Linked DNA regions of Rattus norvegicus. The main gene of each other region encodes a partner of the protein of the gene in region 3 in a complex. Links are inferred from orthologs where the notes say so. Each region holds a gene or a part of one and is shown on either strand. Other genes may lie near its edges. The genes, in order: Ramp2, Ramp3 and Calcr.

What was found.
Region 1: the proteins of Calcr (region 3) and Ramp2 are in contact, whole or in part, in a cryo-EM structure (PDB 7TYX), measured with the Homo sapiens proteins. The link is inferred for Rattus norvegicus from reciprocal best matches to the Homo sapiens genes CALCR and RAMP2. Residues at the interface, in NP_001158210.1 of Homo sapiens: Arg45, Lys46, Met48, Met49, Asp50, Gln52, Tyr53, Lys54, Tyr56, Asp57, Met59, Gln60, Trp76, Gly78, Arg126, Phe235, Leu238, Ile242, Thr246, Val250, Glu255, Lys256, Gln257, Arg258, Trp261, Tyr262, Leu264, Leu265, Phe269, Pro273; in NP_005845.2 of Homo sapiens: Trp86, Tyr93, Ser94, Arg97, Asp98, Glu101, Leu109, Pro112, Glu117, Ile120, Phe121, His124, Phe128, Cys131, Pro136, Phe138, Ser139, Asp140, Pro141, Leu146, Met149, Ile150, Pro153, Ile154, Leu156, Ile157, Leu160, Ile161, Leu163, Val164.
Region 2: the proteins of Calcr (region 3) and Ramp3 are in contact, whole or in part, in a cryo-EM structure (PDB 8F0K), measured with the Homo sapiens proteins. The link is inferred for Rattus norvegicus from reciprocal best matches to the Homo sapiens genes CALCR and RAMP3. Residues at the interface, in NP_001158210.1 of Homo sapiens: Arg45, Lys46, Met49, Asp50, Gln52, Tyr53, Lys54, Tyr56, Asp57, Met59, Gln60, Arg74, Thr75, Trp76, Asp77, Gly78, Asn124, Arg126, Phe235, Leu238, Ile242, Thr246, Gln257, Arg258, Trp261, Tyr262, Leu264, Leu265, Phe269, Ile276; in NP_005847.1 of Homo sapiens: Cys57, Leu59, Ile63, Tyr66, Glu67, Thr70, Tyr83, Trp84, Pro85, Gln90, Ile93, Thr94, His97, Arg98, Phe101, Ser102, Cys104, Val106, His110, Leu111, Glu112, Asp113, Pro114, Val118, Leu119, Leu122, Ile123, Pro126, Val127, Leu129.

Annotation. Positions count from the first base shown.
Region 1 is NC_086028.1:86,686,974-86,692,422, forward strand, and holds Ramp2 (receptor activity-modifying protein 2 precursor), read left to right. Parts: upstream 1-2,174; 5' UTR 2,175-2,214; coding exon 2,215-2,338; intron 2,339-2,812; coding exon 2,813-2,878; intron 2,879-3,316; coding exon 3,317-3,419; intron 3,420-3,549; coding exon 3,550-3,805; 3' UTR 3,806-3,983; downstream 3,984-5,449. UniProt on the Homo sapiens protein: Accessory protein that interacts with and modulates the function of G-protein coupled receptors including calcitonin gene-related peptide type 1 receptor (CALCRL) and calcitonin receptor (CALCR). Required for the transport of CALCRL to the plasma membrane.
Region 2 is NC_086032.1:85,739,164-85,744,993, forward strand, and holds the start of Ramp3 (receptor activity-modifying protein 3 precursor), read left to right. Parts: upstream 1-2,150; 5' UTR 2,151-2,182; coding exon 2,183-2,237; intron 2,238-5,830. UniProt on the Homo sapiens protein: Accessory protein that interacts with and modulates the function of G-protein coupled receptors including calcitonin gene-related peptide type 1 receptor (CALCRL), calcitonin receptor (CALCR) and G-protein coupled estrogen receptor 1 (GPER1).
Region 3 is NC_086022.1:32,641,453-32,646,728, reverse strand, and holds part of Calcr (calcitonin receptor isoform 1a precursor), read left to right. Parts: intron 1-2,121; coding exon 2,122-2,275; intron 2,276-3,619; coding exon 3,620-3,730; intron 3,731-5,276. UniProt on the Homo sapiens protein: G protein-coupled receptor activated by ligand peptides amylin (IAPP), calcitonin (CT/CALCA) and calcitonin gene-related peptide type 1 (CGRP1/CALCA).

The DNA.
Region 1 (5,449 bases), on a different chromosome or scaffold from region 3:
TAAGGCCCTGCGTTTTATCCTCGGCATAACATCAACTGGGTGTGGCTGTGAACTCTTGTGATCCCAATACTCAAAAAGTGGAGCGGGTAGATCACAAATTCAAGGTCTTCCCTGGCTATGTTGAGGCAAACTGGAGCTTCGTGAGATACTGATCCAGAAGGAAGGAAGAAGGAAGGGAGGGAGGAGACAGAAGGAAGGAAGGGAGGAGAAAGTAAGGAGAGAGGAAGGAAGGAAGGCAGGCAAGCAGCTAGGGAGATCACTTAGTGGTTAAGAGCATTTTTCTGCTCCTGCACAGGAAGACGTTCAGTTCCCAGCACTCATGTGGTTCCCACTCCTTTGTAACTTCAGCTCCAGAGGACCCCCACCCCCCAATACTCTACTCTGGCTTCTTCAGGCACCTGCACACATGTACATACATACATGTGCCCCCCCCAACACACACATATGTACATTGAAAAGCATTTAAGATCTAAAGAAGGAAAGGGTGATTCTTTGAAGAATGGGAGATATAAAGTTTGGTCCCCAGTTTGAAGCGTCTCGGAGGCTACTTGGCTCTCTGCACCTTTGAAGGAACGACCCTTACCAACAGAACTCTGAGGCGTTCAAAGGGCCACCACCACCCCTTATGCTGCCTATAATTAATTAATTCCAGCTGCCTGTCGCCATGATGCAGCTGAGGTCCTGAGATGCTTTTTCTTTTTCTTCTTCTTTTTTTTTTTAAGAGACCATAAAAGATAACTTTGGTGGACTGAGATCAGTAAACTGGGACAACAGCAACAGCTGAGTTCAAGGGTCAATGTCTGGGAGTAATTGGGAAAGTTTTGTGCTGACAGCTGTATGATTGGAATTAAAAAGTGCGATCAAACAAGCCCCTGGGCTAATTCAGGCTAATGGATAGCTGGCCCAATATACAGCAACAGCTGAGTTGTGATAGCTGGCAGGATCCCTGGGGGCCCAGACTGAGCCTCAGGGCTTCCCAGTAAAATTCGACCTTAGCCAAGTTACTCAGGAAAGGGAAAAAAAGAAAACCGGCTTCTGTGGAGTGAGTACAGTCTCTTTCTACAAAGGAGGAGATTCCTCCAGAGCAGAAGGAGAGCAAGGTCTTAATGGTGCATGAGAAACCGATGGCAACTGTAGCGTCCAAGGCCGGGGAGTGGGAAAATAGATTTAGGAACAGAACTTTTCAGTTCGAGTCCTGGGGTCTCTCCTTAATCTTTAGCTGCCTCCTCCTCTATAAAACTGGTGGTGGTAAAAATATGCTTGCCTTGGGGCTGGGTTCCAGCAGCAGCAGCAGCAGCAGCAGCAGCAGCAGCAGCAGCAGCAGCAGCAGCAGCAGCAGCAGCAGCTCACCTCAAACACTAAGTGGCACATTGAAAGTTCTAGTATCAGGGGTTGGGGATTTAGTTCAGTGGTAGAGCGCTTGCCTAGCTAGCGCAAAGCCCTGGGTTCGGTCCCCAGCTCCGAAAAGGAGAAAAAAAGAAAAAAAAAAGTTCTAGTGTCTCCCTTAGTTCTAACAACCTGGGTGGCCATTTTCCTGGAAATGTAGTCATCTTTCTTTTTGCACTCCAATATCAGGTTTGTGGGTGAAGGACCCAGAATTTACATTGAAGGAGGGTTATTTAGATATTACTACCTCCCTACCCTGCTTCCCTGACCGTCTTCTCCCTTTCTCAGTAGGGCCAGGCCCCTCTACTATCCGGATTTTGGCAGACATCAGTGGGTGTTCCCTGGGAAAAGAAAGTGGTGCGGGCGCAGCTCTTGCCGCCACTTCCCACCCAAACCCCTGCCTCAGATACCAAGGCATCGGAGGCCCTTGGAGCTCCCAACCGCCTCCTTCTTCCCCAGGTCTGGGACAGCAGCGGGTCCCCACCCCTCCGGTGCGAGAAGGAGGAAGCGACTGGAATCCCTCGGCTGATGCTGGCAGACTTGAGCTAGTCCGGGATGGGAAGTGGATCCCGGTTCATGGGGTACAGGGGGAGCTGTCCAGCCCCGCGGTCCGAGCTGGAAGCGAGAGTGGGCCAAGGCAATCCAGGCCGAGTGAATTACGGGTGCGGCAGTGACTCCCTCTGCAGCCCGCCCCCCACGTGGCCGCCGCCGTGCCAGCCCCTCCGAGGAAGCGGCGCGGCTTCCTGCGGCTGGGGCCCGGGATATAGGCGCCCCCGCCCGGGCCAGCTCAGCTCCGCCGCCCCTCCTCGCCATCTCGCCCAAGGCGTGATGGCTCCGCTCCGGGTAGAGCGCGCCCCGGGTGGATCACAGCTCGCTGTGACCAGCGCCCAGCGGCCCGCAGCGCTCCGCCTCCCTCCGCTGTTACTGCTGCTGTTGCTGCTGCTGCTGGGCGGTGAGCACAGCGTTGGGGCCCGGGTGGGAGATGAGGGAGGTCCGGGAGGGGAAGGGGCCTGGGCCATCGAGGCCAGCACGGGACCACCCTGCGAGTGCCAACCGACGTGAGGAGCAGCTCTGACCTGCACATGGGTCCTGAACACATCTCTGGTTTGGCGCAGGCCAGCTACTTAGGCTGCTTCGTACTTAAGAAAAGCTGGGGTGCCTGCTCGGACCCCGCAGAGAAGTCTTAGGAGGTTCAGGACTGACAAAGAGGGAGAGGGCTTTGGACTCGGGAGTGATTGGGACGCATCTGGTACCAGCCGTTCCCTTCCCTCAATAGGACAATCCCATGGGGGAGGAGGGGAGATTATTCTTTTTGTTCCAAAGCAGTGCTGACTTCCCAGGGCCTTGCTCGCTACCCATAAACAGGTACTACTGTTCAGACCTCTCCCCATATCACCCCACCCTTCTGGTTCATTTCTTTATACAGCTGTCTCAACCTCTCCGGAGTCCCTGAATCAATCTCATCCTACTGAGGACAGCCTTCTGTCAAAAGGTGAGTGCCTAAGTCTGAGGGAGAATGACCTAGTGGGAAGGATAAGCCCAGCACGGGGGAGGAGTCCTTTCACAAGACAATCCTAGAACCAACTGATGCCCGCTAACCTCTCTGGTGTCTCTTGGGGTTCCTATGGTCTTCCTCCCTATCATCCCACAAAGCCACAGTCCAGTGCCTTGGCCCAGTTGGCTAGGTAGAGCAAGACTAGGTCTATGTGAATATCTTGCGGGGCTAGACAATATAATTGCCATTGCAGGATTCCCGAGCCACAGAGTTCGGGGAGAGAATGCTCCTCTCGGCCACAAGTGTCCTGCTAGGGAGATTTTCAGAGGGATTCCCTTCTCTAAAGGCAGAAGACTGTACTCTGGAAATACCTGGATCAGAAGGCTCGGAGGGAGGGCCAGGGGTGTGGTCATTGGGAAGCCTCTGTCCCCACAGGGAAGATGGAGGACTACGAAACAAATGTCCTACCTTGCTGGTATTATTACAAGACTTCCATGGACTCTGTCAAGGACTGGTGCAACTGGACTTTGATTAGCAGGTAGGGGCAGTGTTGAAGGAGGATGGCTCAGGCCAGGAGTTGGATCTGACCTTTGTGGGTGGGGGGTGGGGGGTCATCCTTCTCCCTGGACCCAATCCTTCCCTCACTCGAATCCCCTACTGCTCTCCAGGTATTACAGCAACCTGCGGTATTGCTTGGAGTACGAGGCAGACAAGTTTGGCCTGGGCTTCCCAAATCCCTTGGCAGAAAGTATCATCCTTGAGGCTCACCTGATACACTTTGCCAACTGCTCCTTGGTGCAGCCTACCTTCTCCGATCCCCCAGAGGATGTGCTTCTGGCCATGATCATAGCCCCCATCTGCCTCATCCCTTTCCTCGTTACGCTTGTGGTGTGGAGGAGTAAAGACGGCGATGCGCAGGCGTAGGCTCCGCCTCTCAGCAGCCATCTTTTCCCTGTACCCTGCTGGAACCAGGATCTCTCCTCCCCTCCCTACCCACTTACTCCCATCCTTCCCACAGACCTTCGGATTGGTGGAAATGGAAGAAAGGGGAACTGATAGCACAATGTCCGTCGTCTTTAAAATAAAATATGTTTTTGTACAATCGTCCCTTCCTAGTGGGGTCTGTGTAGATGATAGTCCTACGGGGCATCATTACTGGGCAACGGAGCTTGAAGACGACCCTGCTGTTCAGTTCATTTCACCTGCCCTCCGCTTCCACATGAAGGCCATGTTCCTATACTCTTTCCTCCCAGGGAGAGGCCTTTCCTGCAGCTATCCAAACCCAGCTCCAGGAAATGAGCAGGAAGAGACTCCCTTCCGGTCTGGACAACAGCTGGGGGCCTGTGGTTGGGAAGGTGTGGGAGGAGGGGCAAGAAACCTCTACAATAACCCCTGCAAGGAAAAAAGGCTACCCAGGAGCCCAGCTTTGCCTTCTTCGCCTCAGTTTACTCTACAGCCAGAAAGAAGAAATATGATTACCAATAGGAATTTGTCCATCAGCGTCTCAGGCTTGAGGCCCAAGGCAACGGGGGCTTCCTTTACCGGATTCTACTGTTCCCCTTTATGTTCCTGGCCTTCATCCCACATTGTCTAAGAGATCCATCATGGCCACACACTGCCCCCTGGTGTCCACTAAAACCAACAACCAGACAATGTATAAAACCTGGAACAGGTTCCAGGCTGAGAAACACTGGACCCTGGGGTTCAGAAACGTTATTTCCATTACAACCTAGTTGTTAGCCAGGCTCTTCTATTAGCTTTTTTGAGAAATATGGCTATGATATTCTATTAACATATCTGCTTCTCTGCAACTCACCATTTCCGTGTATGAACTGTTTCCCGGGCAGGGAAGATTAGTTCTCCTCACCGGGAAACTCTCATGTCCAATACTTCTGGGCTACACTTGTCGGGTCCTCCCACACACAGGCAAAGCAACTTTGCTTTATGTGAAAACACCTGATTACCTTTTGCAGCCCTCTTTTTTTTTTCCGGAGCTGGGGACCGAACCCAGGGCCTTGTGCTTGCTAGGCAAGCGCTCTACCACTGAGCTAAATCCCCAATCCCTTTTGCAGCCCTCTTAACCTCTTCAGAGGCTTCTGTTCTCCCTGCTGAAATATCTGCTTGCCAAATATGTGCATGTCTCTTCCCTGGCACATGCTTATCTGTTTTGTAGATAGATGTCTGCATTTCTTGGAACCTTCCTATGTGTTGTCAAAGATATACTCCTCTCAGGCCATATCTGTCACCAAAGGGATTTCGTTTTGTTTTTTGCAGACAAGGTTTCTCTGTGTAGCCCTGGCTATCCCGAAACCCAGAGATCTTCCTGTGTCTGCCTCCCAAGGGCTGGGATTAAATGCATATGCCATTACAGTTTTTTGGGTTTTTTTTTTTTTTTTTTTTTTTGGAGCTGGGGGCCGAACCCAGGGCCTTGCGCTTGCTAGGCAAGTGCTCTACCGCTGAGCTAAATCCCCAACCCCGCATATGCCATCACGAACCAGTAACCTAAGGACAGTTTCTCTGTGTAGCCCTGGCTGTCCCAGAATTCACTCTGTAGACCAGGCTGGCCTC
Region 2 (5,830 bases), on a different chromosome or scaffold from region 3:
GCAGGTGATTCCGAGTGCAGGAGACAGTTCTGTGCAGATGGGCCAAATGGGCTGCCTAGCAGAGGCAGGGAGGGGAATGGGAAGAACAGGGGGTCCCTATGTCAGGAAAGCAGAATGGTGGTTGTGGCACTGACCATTCTTGCAACCTGTGCTAAGTCAACTTGTGGTAATAGCTCCCCTCCACCCACTCTGTCGCTGGGAGGCCATGGGCTGAGAAGGAAGGCGGAAGGCAGAAGGCTCTGCTTTGCAGGTGTGACACAGGCTGCTTCTCAGCAGGAACAGAGGCCTTTGGGGTGTGCCACGGGGATGGGCAGCCCTGTATAGCTGAGGTGTTGGGAATAAGGTTTCCCCACAGCAGAACCAGTGAGCACTTCCTGCACAGGCCACGGAGGCAACCTCAGCCGCCCTGAGCTGGTGCCCACCTGAGGTACAGAATCTGCCTCCCCATCTCTGTCTTCAGGTTGTGAGACAATCAACCCAAACTTCCTCTGTGAGAGCAACTTGCTGGTTAGCCTTTGTGTCCTGATTAGTGTCCCCCACCCCTTAGCACGGGGGAGGGGATCATGACCTAGATGTTTGGCCCCTCTAGACCTGTCCTGCACCTCTTTAGGCTGAAGCAGGATGACTGACCAAGTTAAATCAATTTTAATCTCAATTAAACTCCTTTGTTGTTGTAGCAAGCCTAGGTTTTCTAGGCTTCCCATGCTAACTGGCTTTTAAAAAAATGTTATCATTATTATTATTTTTTTTCTTTTTTCTTTTTTTCGGAGCTGGGAACCGAACCCAGGGCCTTGCGCTTGCTAGGCAAGCGCTCTACCACTGAGCTAAATCCCCAACCCCATCATTATTATTTTTTAATCTTTAAGATTCACTTAGTTTATGTGTATGAGGGGTGCACAATGTGCGTGCAGCACCCTCAGAGGCCAGGACAGGGAGAACTGGTCGTCCTGTGGAGCTGGAGTTACAGATGACCATGAGCTACTGCTACTACTTGTGGGAACCGAACCCAGGTCCTCTGCAAGCGTCCTTAACCACTGTGGCCTCTCTTCAGTAGTCCTAAATTAGTTACACGTTTTTGTTTGTTTGCTTGTTTGTTTTTCAAATTTCAAACATTCTCTCCCTTGAGTCGATTCTGGCTTCGACCAGAATTTTCTCAGTGAAAATTCACAGAAAGTTGTAGTGAGCCTTTCTAGGTCAGGAAAGGCCAGCCTAGACGGGCGTGCTCATCCAGGTGGGGAAGCCATCTCCCCAGGTCTGTGCCTTAGCTCTCAGACCAGCATGTGCTCTCTAGAGGGGCAATACACTTCGCTCCGGAAGGACAAAGAGTTCCGCTTTTCTCTTTCTGAGGAGTGGTCCCAACATCGGGAACAGGAAGGTGTCCTGGGGCCGAGGGACAGATCAAGGACAGACCATGATCTGTTCTGGTTAAGTGACCGATGGTGGAGAAATTGAAGCCTTTTCTCTTCTTCCTACCTGACGCTTCTAGAAGCCAGGTCCTCGAAGGCCCCACTCACTGACCTGCCTGCCCTCAGTTTGCTTCAGATGTAGCCATTTGCGTTTGCATGTGTGCACACTTAAGTTCCCCTCCTCGCTGCCTCCGTCTGGTAGGTCATGCTCCTCATCTTCGGTTTGCTCAGCAACCCACTTCATGCCCTTCCCTGTCCCTTGGAGACAGGGCTCTCAAACTTGTCTCTGCTTAAATATATATGCTTATCTTACAGGGGTCCCATAGGGACCTGAAAGGATGAACCTCTGGTTTCTCCAAGTTCAACCTCTTGTCTATCTCTTGCCTGGCTCCCCTCTATCAACCTGTCCTATGTCCCTTCATTTTCCCAGCTTGCTCCCCAGTTTGACGCTAAGGTCTGTAACCAGTTCATCCCCAGCCAAAACTGCAGTTTTCCGGTCAGAACCCCTTTCCTAGTCCGGCCACTCAACTGCACTTGCCTTTCCTCTGTTCCAGTCCAGATCCCAACGCTACGCTCCCCTCCGGCACCCCCACTTCCCCCCAAACTCTTCCATCCCCACCTGCCTCTCTAGAAAAAAGCTGAGGATTCTAGGCAGCCGCGAGAGTCAGAGGAGTCGGGGCGTGGCCTGGGCGGGGCTCTCCGAGGTTCCGCCTTGGTCCCGCCCCAAGTCTCTTACCTCTGCTTGTTGCTGTAAGCCGAGTGCATCTTAGCTGGCCATGGCGACCCCGGCACAGCGGCTGCACCTTCTCCCTCTGTTGCTGCTGCTTTGTGGTAAGGAGACATTTGGGTTTGGGACACTCCATCTCCTCGGGGCCTTGGGACCCATGCGGACTCTCTCCTTCCCGCATCGAGCCTAAGCTGCGCTCTCTCTTTTACCAGAGTTTGGAAAGGACGCAGGCACGCTAGCTCAAGCGCGCATCTGCAGGTTTTGTGGAGGGTCTTCATAACACCTCGGACCTTAGAGGAGCCAAAGGAAAAGGCCTTGGGTTGCTAGGGATGCACAAGGTTCCCGGCGGGGCTGCGATGTCGTGGCATCTAGGGAAAGGTCTTTGGTGAGGTAGTGAGCTTCCCGTGCAGCTGGCTAGAATCCTTTTCCAGTGAGAAAAATTGGACTCAGGGAGAAACATTGCTCTCACAAGATATAAATGGGACAAATATTAAGCTTGTTTTGAAAGGGGTGTGGAGGGCATAAAGTTAGTAGGGAGACATATTAAGGGAGCCCGAGGGAGGGAGCTTAATGGGGTGCGGACAGTAGGGGCGGATATGCTCAAAATGTGTTGTATACATATATAAAATTTCAAAGAATAAAATCATTAAAAAAGAAATACTACAAAAAAAGAAGTATCTTACTGAAGAAGTTACCCAAAGATAAGATTAATAAGAGGGCATGTGTACACGTACGTGTATATGTGTGTGTACGTACATATATGCATGTATCTGTGCCCCTGAGTGTGCATGATTGTATTTGTGTGCCTGTGTGAGCATGCGTGTGCCTGTGTACCTGTGGAAGGGTTTGATGGGAGAGAGCTTGCCAAGAGCTGGAGCGCTGGGCGAGGCCTGGCCAGAACTGGGAGGGAAGCTATTTGCAGGGGTTGGGGGTGGAGGTCTGTATCCAGGGCCATGGCGCCGAGTCCTTTAGGATGTTTCCCTTACTTTCCTGGCTCAGCCTCCTTGGCTGTAAGGCGAAGTTGGACCTGTTTGCAATGTTTCTTCAGTGTCGATGACCTGAGATGCGGTCTGGGAGTTGGGACAGAGTTGGGCCAGACTCAACAATTGGTTCTCTCCCTTCGAAGAGGTCTCTGTTTACAGAGTGAGGCCCTGTTTCATGTTCTACAGAGGGCACCAAGGCTAGGGTAGAGCTTTATGTTGAAGGGCTGGCACTGTGGCCACTTCCAGAAGGCCGTGCAGTGTTTTTGGGATTTTAGCGAAACTCCAACGAAAGGCTCCTCGGTGAGGATTTTGGTTTCTAGAGGAAGGAAGGTCCAGAGTTTATGTTGAGGGAAACCCTGTCTCTCCTGACTGTTTCTAGTGTGGAACTGGGAAGCAACTGCACGAAATCCTAGCAGTCCTGGTCCCCCTTCCCATCCTACTTTGGAAGTGCCCACTGTCGTCCTCACCCAGGGGAGCAGGCTTCTTGGCGGCAGGGCAGGCTCAGCCTTCTCACAGACATGGCTGCTCCGAGTCTGGCCAGCCCAAGAGTCAGAGACGAAGCCCGTCGCACGCAGGCTGGCCAAGGTGGGCTCTGAGCTCGGTCCACCTTCTGGAAGGGAAGAACTGAGCTTCCGAGTGCCTAGTATGCTGACCACCATCTGTGCTTTGTTGACACTGTGATGTCCGGAACTCTAGCCTGCATAGATTTGGGGCCCAGTCATTGCAGAGAGCAGCATCAGGAGAGACATCGCTTCCAAACAATAAAGGTCTGGGCCTGTGGGGCTTCCTCGGAATTCTAAAGTACTCTGCGAGGACACTTTGATACTTCTCAGGATCCTGGGATGAGGAGTCCAGCAGGTGTCTCCTTTTATTTTTATTAATTAATTAATTAATTAATTAATTATATGTATGAATACACTGTTGCTGTCTCCAGACACACCAGAAGAGGGCATCAGATCCCATTACAGATGGCTGTGAGCCACCATGTGGTTGCTGGGATTTGAACTCAGGACCTCTGGAAGAGCAGTCAGTGCTTTAACCACTGAGCCATCTCTCCAGCCCAGCGGGTGTCTCCTTATCGGCTCTTAGCCTCAGTTTCCCTAATTACAGCAGGAGTGCAGCTGCGGAGTGCGCCTGGGTTGACTGGCTTGGGTCAGTTGAGTTCAGGCCAATCACTGTGCTGTGGAGGCAAAATGCTCTCCTGATAAAGAGGAGGGTGCTCCTGGTTCTTACCACCGTGAGGAGAGCACCCCCGGGATCTGTGTGAGCACGCATGTGGTGTGTGTGTGTGAACATGGTGTCCCGATTTTGTCATGAGCTATAGTAATGTGCCGTACACACTCATTTTGAGCGGACAAGCAGTACTGGAGACGTGAGGTCTTGAAGAAGGTGGTTTGTTAAACGCAGAATTTTCAGTATTGGAGCTGCCTTGGAGGTCATTGGCCCATTTCCCATAAGGGAATTCAGGTGGAGAGATAGGGAGAGAACTGCTCTGAGCACATGCGCAGGGGACAGAACAGCCTGGACACCGCAGCCGCCGAGGCCAGCCGCCCATGCCTTTGCGGCCAGTCTGGTTGTGCTCATTCCATGGAGGATGAAAGTGCCTGGTTTCATTTCCAGATGACAAAGGTCCGTTCTCTAGGAAATGCATCTGCCCGGCTGTTTATCATTTCTCGGCATCTGGAAGTCGCCGAGACAAAAGACGCACAGGGCTGAGTGTTCTTTGTTTCGGAACGGAACCATCCGGAATGGATTTCTACGTTGATTCAGTTCCTGAGAACAGTACAGATCAGCCAGCAGCTTGAGTGGTGGCGACTTTCATGGAGTCCCAGGGGTCAGGGGCTTTACTCAAGAGTGCCCTTTTAGCCTTGTATGCATCTGAAATGGTGACGGACTGGGGTCCCCTGGGAGGGCACCGTCTGTGACCTTGTGCCTGTCTAGGGTGGTCCCAGAGCATTTTTGAAACTCTCCTGATCAGGGCGGGGAAGTCAGCAGTTCTGTTCGAGGGTAGCACACAGTCCTCCATGGTACCTCACAGCTGCATGGGACAGACTCTTGCTTTGTCATGCCCTGAGCGGTTCAGGGGTAATCAAGGCTTCTGGGACCAGGCGAAGGTTCTAGAGTTCATTCACAATGACCCTGGGGCTACTTGGAGATACTGGGGTTTTCACATGGCACATGGAGATTTTGGGGTGTGTGGAGATTCTAGAGCATGTGAGCGTTACGGTGTGCAGAGGGGTCTGGGGCACACAGAGGTTCTGGTGGTGGGGGATTTCTGGGGCACATGGAAATTCTGGGGTATGTAAAGCTTCCGGGGTACATTAGAACACTGGAAAACATGGAAACTGGGATACACAGGGATTCAAGGCAGAGCCAGGAGGCAGGCGTGTGGTGAGAGACTCCTCACCCCTTCTTCTTAGGTAGTTGGGTTCGCTTGGCGGAGGGTGGTAAAGTCATGGAGAAATGACTGAGCAAGCCTGTTCTGACCAGACTTGGCGTGCGTACCTGTGTGTGTGTGTGTGTGTGTGTGTGTGTGTGTGTGTGTGTGTGTGTGTGTGATGGAGGGAAGGGAAATCTGTCATCTTTAATCTGCCTCCCAGAATTCTGATTCTTTCTGACATCCAAGGTGAAGAGAAGAAAAGGAAGAGGGAGAGGGAAGGTGACCAAGGGGCAGAATGGAAAAAGGAGGAGGTGGGGGAGGGGGAGAGGGGAGG
Region 3 (5,276 bases):
AAACACAAACACAAATAAGGAATCTCTTTTTAAAAAAGTAAAATAGAAAAATGTAAGCTGAACAAAAACACATTCTAATTTCTAATGGTATATCTGAGAATGTCCTGCAGGGAGATGATTGTTCATGGTGTCTCTGGTCAGGAGTGTCTCTTCCTAGACAGTTAGGTCCACAGAAGCAGGATTCACACCTGTTTGCTTCAGGACTTCATCCTCAGGAATGTTTGGCTTGCCCAGTTCAGTAACCATTTCTCTCTGAAAATCAGTGAGAAATGAGTCTTCACAGGGAGCTGCGTTTTGTGACGTGGTTAAAGGGGCTGCACACGTTTATTTGACCAGGGTCATCCATTTCTCTGCTGTAATAAATTTAAGATACATTAAATACCAAGTAATCAATATTCAAATTGTAGGAGTGTTATAACGGTTAGAAGTATCCACCGTCTTCACCATATAAACAGTTTCTACCCAACTAACTTGTGGGCATGTCTAAACCAGTGCTCACCTTCCCCCACACAGATTTTAATTTGACCCCATATTGCTTCCTCCAGAAATCACCCTTTTTTTCAGAAGTGTGGACCAAATATCTATGCCCTTTGGGCATCACTACTCCCAGTCCTTATATTGAGATATGTCTTCATCTCTCCACTGCATGGCAAAGTGTCGAGAGCTGTGTTCTCTTATTCTACCATGGGGTGCTATGGCCCAGACATTCAATTTCCAGCCTCCCCTCTCCCCACGACCTTTGAATTGTGGAGATCTATGCTGCTGAATGAACATTGCTATAATTCTGCCTTCCAAACCTTAATTGATCAAAATATGTAATGGGTTTTTTTAAATTTTTTTGGTATTTCAGAAATATGCAATATCTGTTTTCTTCAACTCCTTACCTATCCTAAACTATACTCCCCTTTGTCATGATGATGTCACCACAGTGTCATAGCAGTCCCTGAACATTAGTGTGGCTTTTCCCTCTACACAGCCTTTCTTCTCTTCTCTAGATCCCTCCAGAAACCCAAGATCCCATTCAAATTCTTCTATGTATCTGTAACTGTCATGAAATATTTTTACCCCAGATCCTTTCCCTATTCTGAATTTTGTACTATACATCTTCACATTGATGACATGTTATTGCAGGGTCGGACATAGTGGGAGACACAGAATCAGAGATATTTGAGCACGAAGCTCAACAAATAAATAAGCTTTATTCCTAATGTGGCTGGCACTACTAAGATGCACACCGGGTGTGTCAACTGAGAAAACGGAACTCTTGATTACAAGCGAGAAGAGACAGTATAGTGATGATCACCTCACTCGTACACACATGTCCAAACACACAACTTATGGGAAGCAAAGACCTGCAGATGGTGACTGAGTAGAAAGGCAATGTCAACTTGTTCTGAAACCCGATGTACCAATATAAACATTGAAGAGTTATATTTGCTTTGTTCACTGAATATGAATTACAATGTGTAAGTCAAGTGCCACTTTGAAGAACTTAAAGTCAATTATTTTCTTTGATCCGAGGGATGCACAAGGCAAATTTTGGCAGAGTACACAAACCACACCTGAGCAAAACCTAGCTGAAGATGTCCACTAAAGAAGCATGTTTTTCCTGTAATTTCTATGTTTTTAAATGTGCAACCCATGATTCTTAAGATTTACAAAGATGGAAAAGTTGGTCTAAAATGGAGATGTTTCGAAAATCAAATTATTTGCCCCGTTTATGTGTAGACTTTCCAAAGAAAATAAATTAAAACCATAGGAGATTATTAAGATGTGTGTGAGTGGGCTGGAGAGATGGCTCAGCCGTTAAAGGCTAGGCTCACAACCAAAACTATAAGATGTGTGTGAGTGTGTATGATTGCTCTACATTCTCAATAGCAACTGTACATTGATACAAGTATAAGTGGGTAGAATATGAATGTTAAATGAACTGTACATTGATACAAGTATAAGTGGGTAGAATATGAATGTTAAACATGATGCATTTTCATTATAGAATATTTTATGTAAAGTTCTACATAAATGTTGCTTACAGAGAAAAGAAATGTTTTTGTATTTTTTACAATTAGCACATTTATATTTTTGTGTTAAGTCATTTCCTTCTCTGTACCTTTTATACAGAGCCCTACTCCAGTTCTTCAGGCTCCTACCAATCTCACTGACTCCGGCCTTGATCAGGAGCCATTCCTGTACTTGGTTGGACGCAAGAAGCTTCTGGATGCTCAGTACAAGTGCTATGACCGGATTCAGCAGTTGCCCCCTTATGAGGGAGAAGGTAAAAGAAACATGTGAACCTACGTGTGTAGCATCATTTAAGTCGGTTTCTTCCCAAGGCATCAATAGTAGTGAGTAGTTGAAATGGAATAGATCTACAGTCTCACATTATGCTGTGCGTGTGTGTTTTGTTCAGTACATATGATTATTCCCCTCCTATATAGAATAGCATTTTGGCTGACATTAGCCCTTATGACAAAATTACCTCAATAAATCAGCATTCACACCTAATAAGGAGGAACAGTACAGGACTGAGCGACAGCAGAGAAATGCAAAGCGATTGGCAGGGCATCTGCCTGAGGCAGAATCTGTGCAAACTCTGTCTTGTTTGGATTCATTAGGTGTATCTTTCCTTCAAATGCCAATTCATTGACAACCTCTGATAATTCTTCTCTCTCATTACCGCATCGCCAGTCTGTGGGGAATGGCCTCAGTAAGCATAGTTAATCTGTGCTCTTTTCTAGAGTAATCTTTGTAGCCCAAATACTTTCAGGGCTAAGTATAGTTTACTTTCTGTAGAAGTCCCAGAGAAGAAAAGGAAAAGAAAAACTGTGTGATAGGAGAGCATTGGCACAGCCTTTTCAATCCTCCTCCATGTCTCTGACCCATCTTCGAAGACTGAATAAGACTTTTAGGTAGCCTTGAACACTGTAAGACAAAGCTTAGAAAGGTGGAAAATGGTGAAATAATGCTCTAGTGATAACTAAAAAAGATTTATCAGATGCAGCACAATGATATGCTCTATTAAATTAGAAAATATATTATCCCTATGTAAATATATTTCAGATTTTAGAGGAGTCGATCTGTATTATCAGTTCTGATAAATAATCCCACAGATGAATTTTTCTTCACTGCTATGAAGGTAAAGGTAGAAAATGTGCCTCACCTTACGTGAACTATAAGTATTACAATTTAAATTCAACTTCTTGGTTGAATATTTTGAAAAGGGTAAAATTTTCAATAAACAAAAACTTAACAACATACCTCAGAGCCTGTTCGATTTTTTTTTGTTTGTTTGTGAGCTAAATTTTCGATCTCCTCTACAATTAAATAAATGGACAGAAGTGCATTGTTTGGAGCTGCTCGCCTTATGAGAAGCCCAACCTCAGAGCCTCTTACAAAGCTAAAACAAGAACCCTGCCTGCCCTCCAATGAGATTTTCCCCCACAGATATACCAACATCCTTTGAATGTTTATTTCAAAAGAAAATTAACGAGAATGGCTCACTTGAAATACAATTAGTCTTGACTGAAGCGATAGGATCCAACCTCTCTGATCTCCTCAGAAAACAATCTCCTTCACACAAGCCACGTGTTTCAGTGCAAGTTTCTTCCCGCATCCCCAGGTCCATATTGCAACCGAACTTGGGATGGATGGATGTGCTGGGACGACACTCCAGCTGGTGTAATGTCCTATCAGCACTGCCCTGACTACTTTCCGGACTTTGACCCAACAGGTACGGGCTTTAGTTTCATTTTATGTTTTTGCTATGAATTTTAAAAAATGTGTTAAATATACAAGTGGACACAAAATCTACTTCAGCTATTGAAGTTACATAACGGTGTGTCGCACCAAACATCACCTTCCACATTGCAAAGCATTTTTCATATTTATTATTTCATTTCAAACTGACAATATTTAACATCATACTGCAAGGGAATCCACTCAGTACACGATGTCGAGATCTACTGGAACACATTCGCTAACCTTTATGAGAGGGCACATTGTCTTTTCAGGGCTTCACCCCATCACACAGGTATCGTTAGACACCAACCTGGAATGCTCGAGGAGGACAGTCTAGGAGGGTCAGGTTCTGGGTGGTATGAAATTTAAAAGGCCGATGTCATTTATTTTAGAGTCTTCACGTATACAAGTGTGGAGGTCTAGGGCTGAGGCAGTTCCGCGATGAATACTCAGGAGTGGTGCAAAGGTGTGCAGATAGATTACCAGCCTCAATACAGTAGACAGAGAGGTGTGAGAAGGAAATGGGATTTGGTAATTTTAATTAATAAAAGGTGGGGGAAAATCCTGGTATAGACACGATCAAGGCTTGCCAGGCTCAAATAACGGTACTGAACAGTGGACCTTTAGGGAGCAGAGCACCAGGTGCACCTGGTAAGAAGAGGTCTATTGGGTGTAGCTGCTCACTACAAGATCTGCCTGATCAGATCCAGAAAAATCTTACTCAGACACCCTAGAAGAAAAAAAAATCTCTCCCATTAAGTTAAATCTAGAAGATACTGAAAAGGCTAAATAAGCCTTAATTAGAACCAATGCCCAGATGATGAAACTAAAGATCAGCTACAGACACACTATGTAAGTCTCTAGAAGAAGATAATATTGTTTTCCAAGGGTCATATGATCTGACCTGGCCACAGGTGTTTAAGTGTCTCTGGAATTCCCATAAGAGCAATATATAAGCCCTTCACCGAGACAAGGCTTGGGAGATACTTTGAGGGCTCCCTTGAGGAAATTTCTCACTTATTATTGAAGTCAAAATCCTAACCCAGAACAACAGAGATAATCAAAGTTTAATTGCAAGAAATTCTTTTTAAACCAATGCAAAATAAAATAAATGTCAGTGTTGGCCAAACACTTCTAGAAATCTCCTTCTGAAGGGTGGCATAGGCAGAATGGGCTTTGTATGGTGCCCTTACTTTGAGCTACATTCCTATAAATTGGAACCAAAATGCTCCATAATGAGAATCCTTCAGGCCTTTATTACCTCTTCCCAACACATGCTGCCTCATTTATCTTGATCTGTCATTGCACTGAAGGTAAGTTGACCAGCACAAAAATCTTTCCTACAATAGAGATCTGCTAGGCCATTTGAAAGTGGCAATGGGCTTTTGCCAAAGTAGCTATAAATATTGACTAAAAAGCATGGTCTTGATAAGCAAAATAGAGATTTCTAGTCATAGCTCCATCTTTCCAGTCTAGGTTTTTAGATGGAGCCATCTTAGGTAGAGACAAATTCACTTCTAACAAAAAGAGCATCTTCG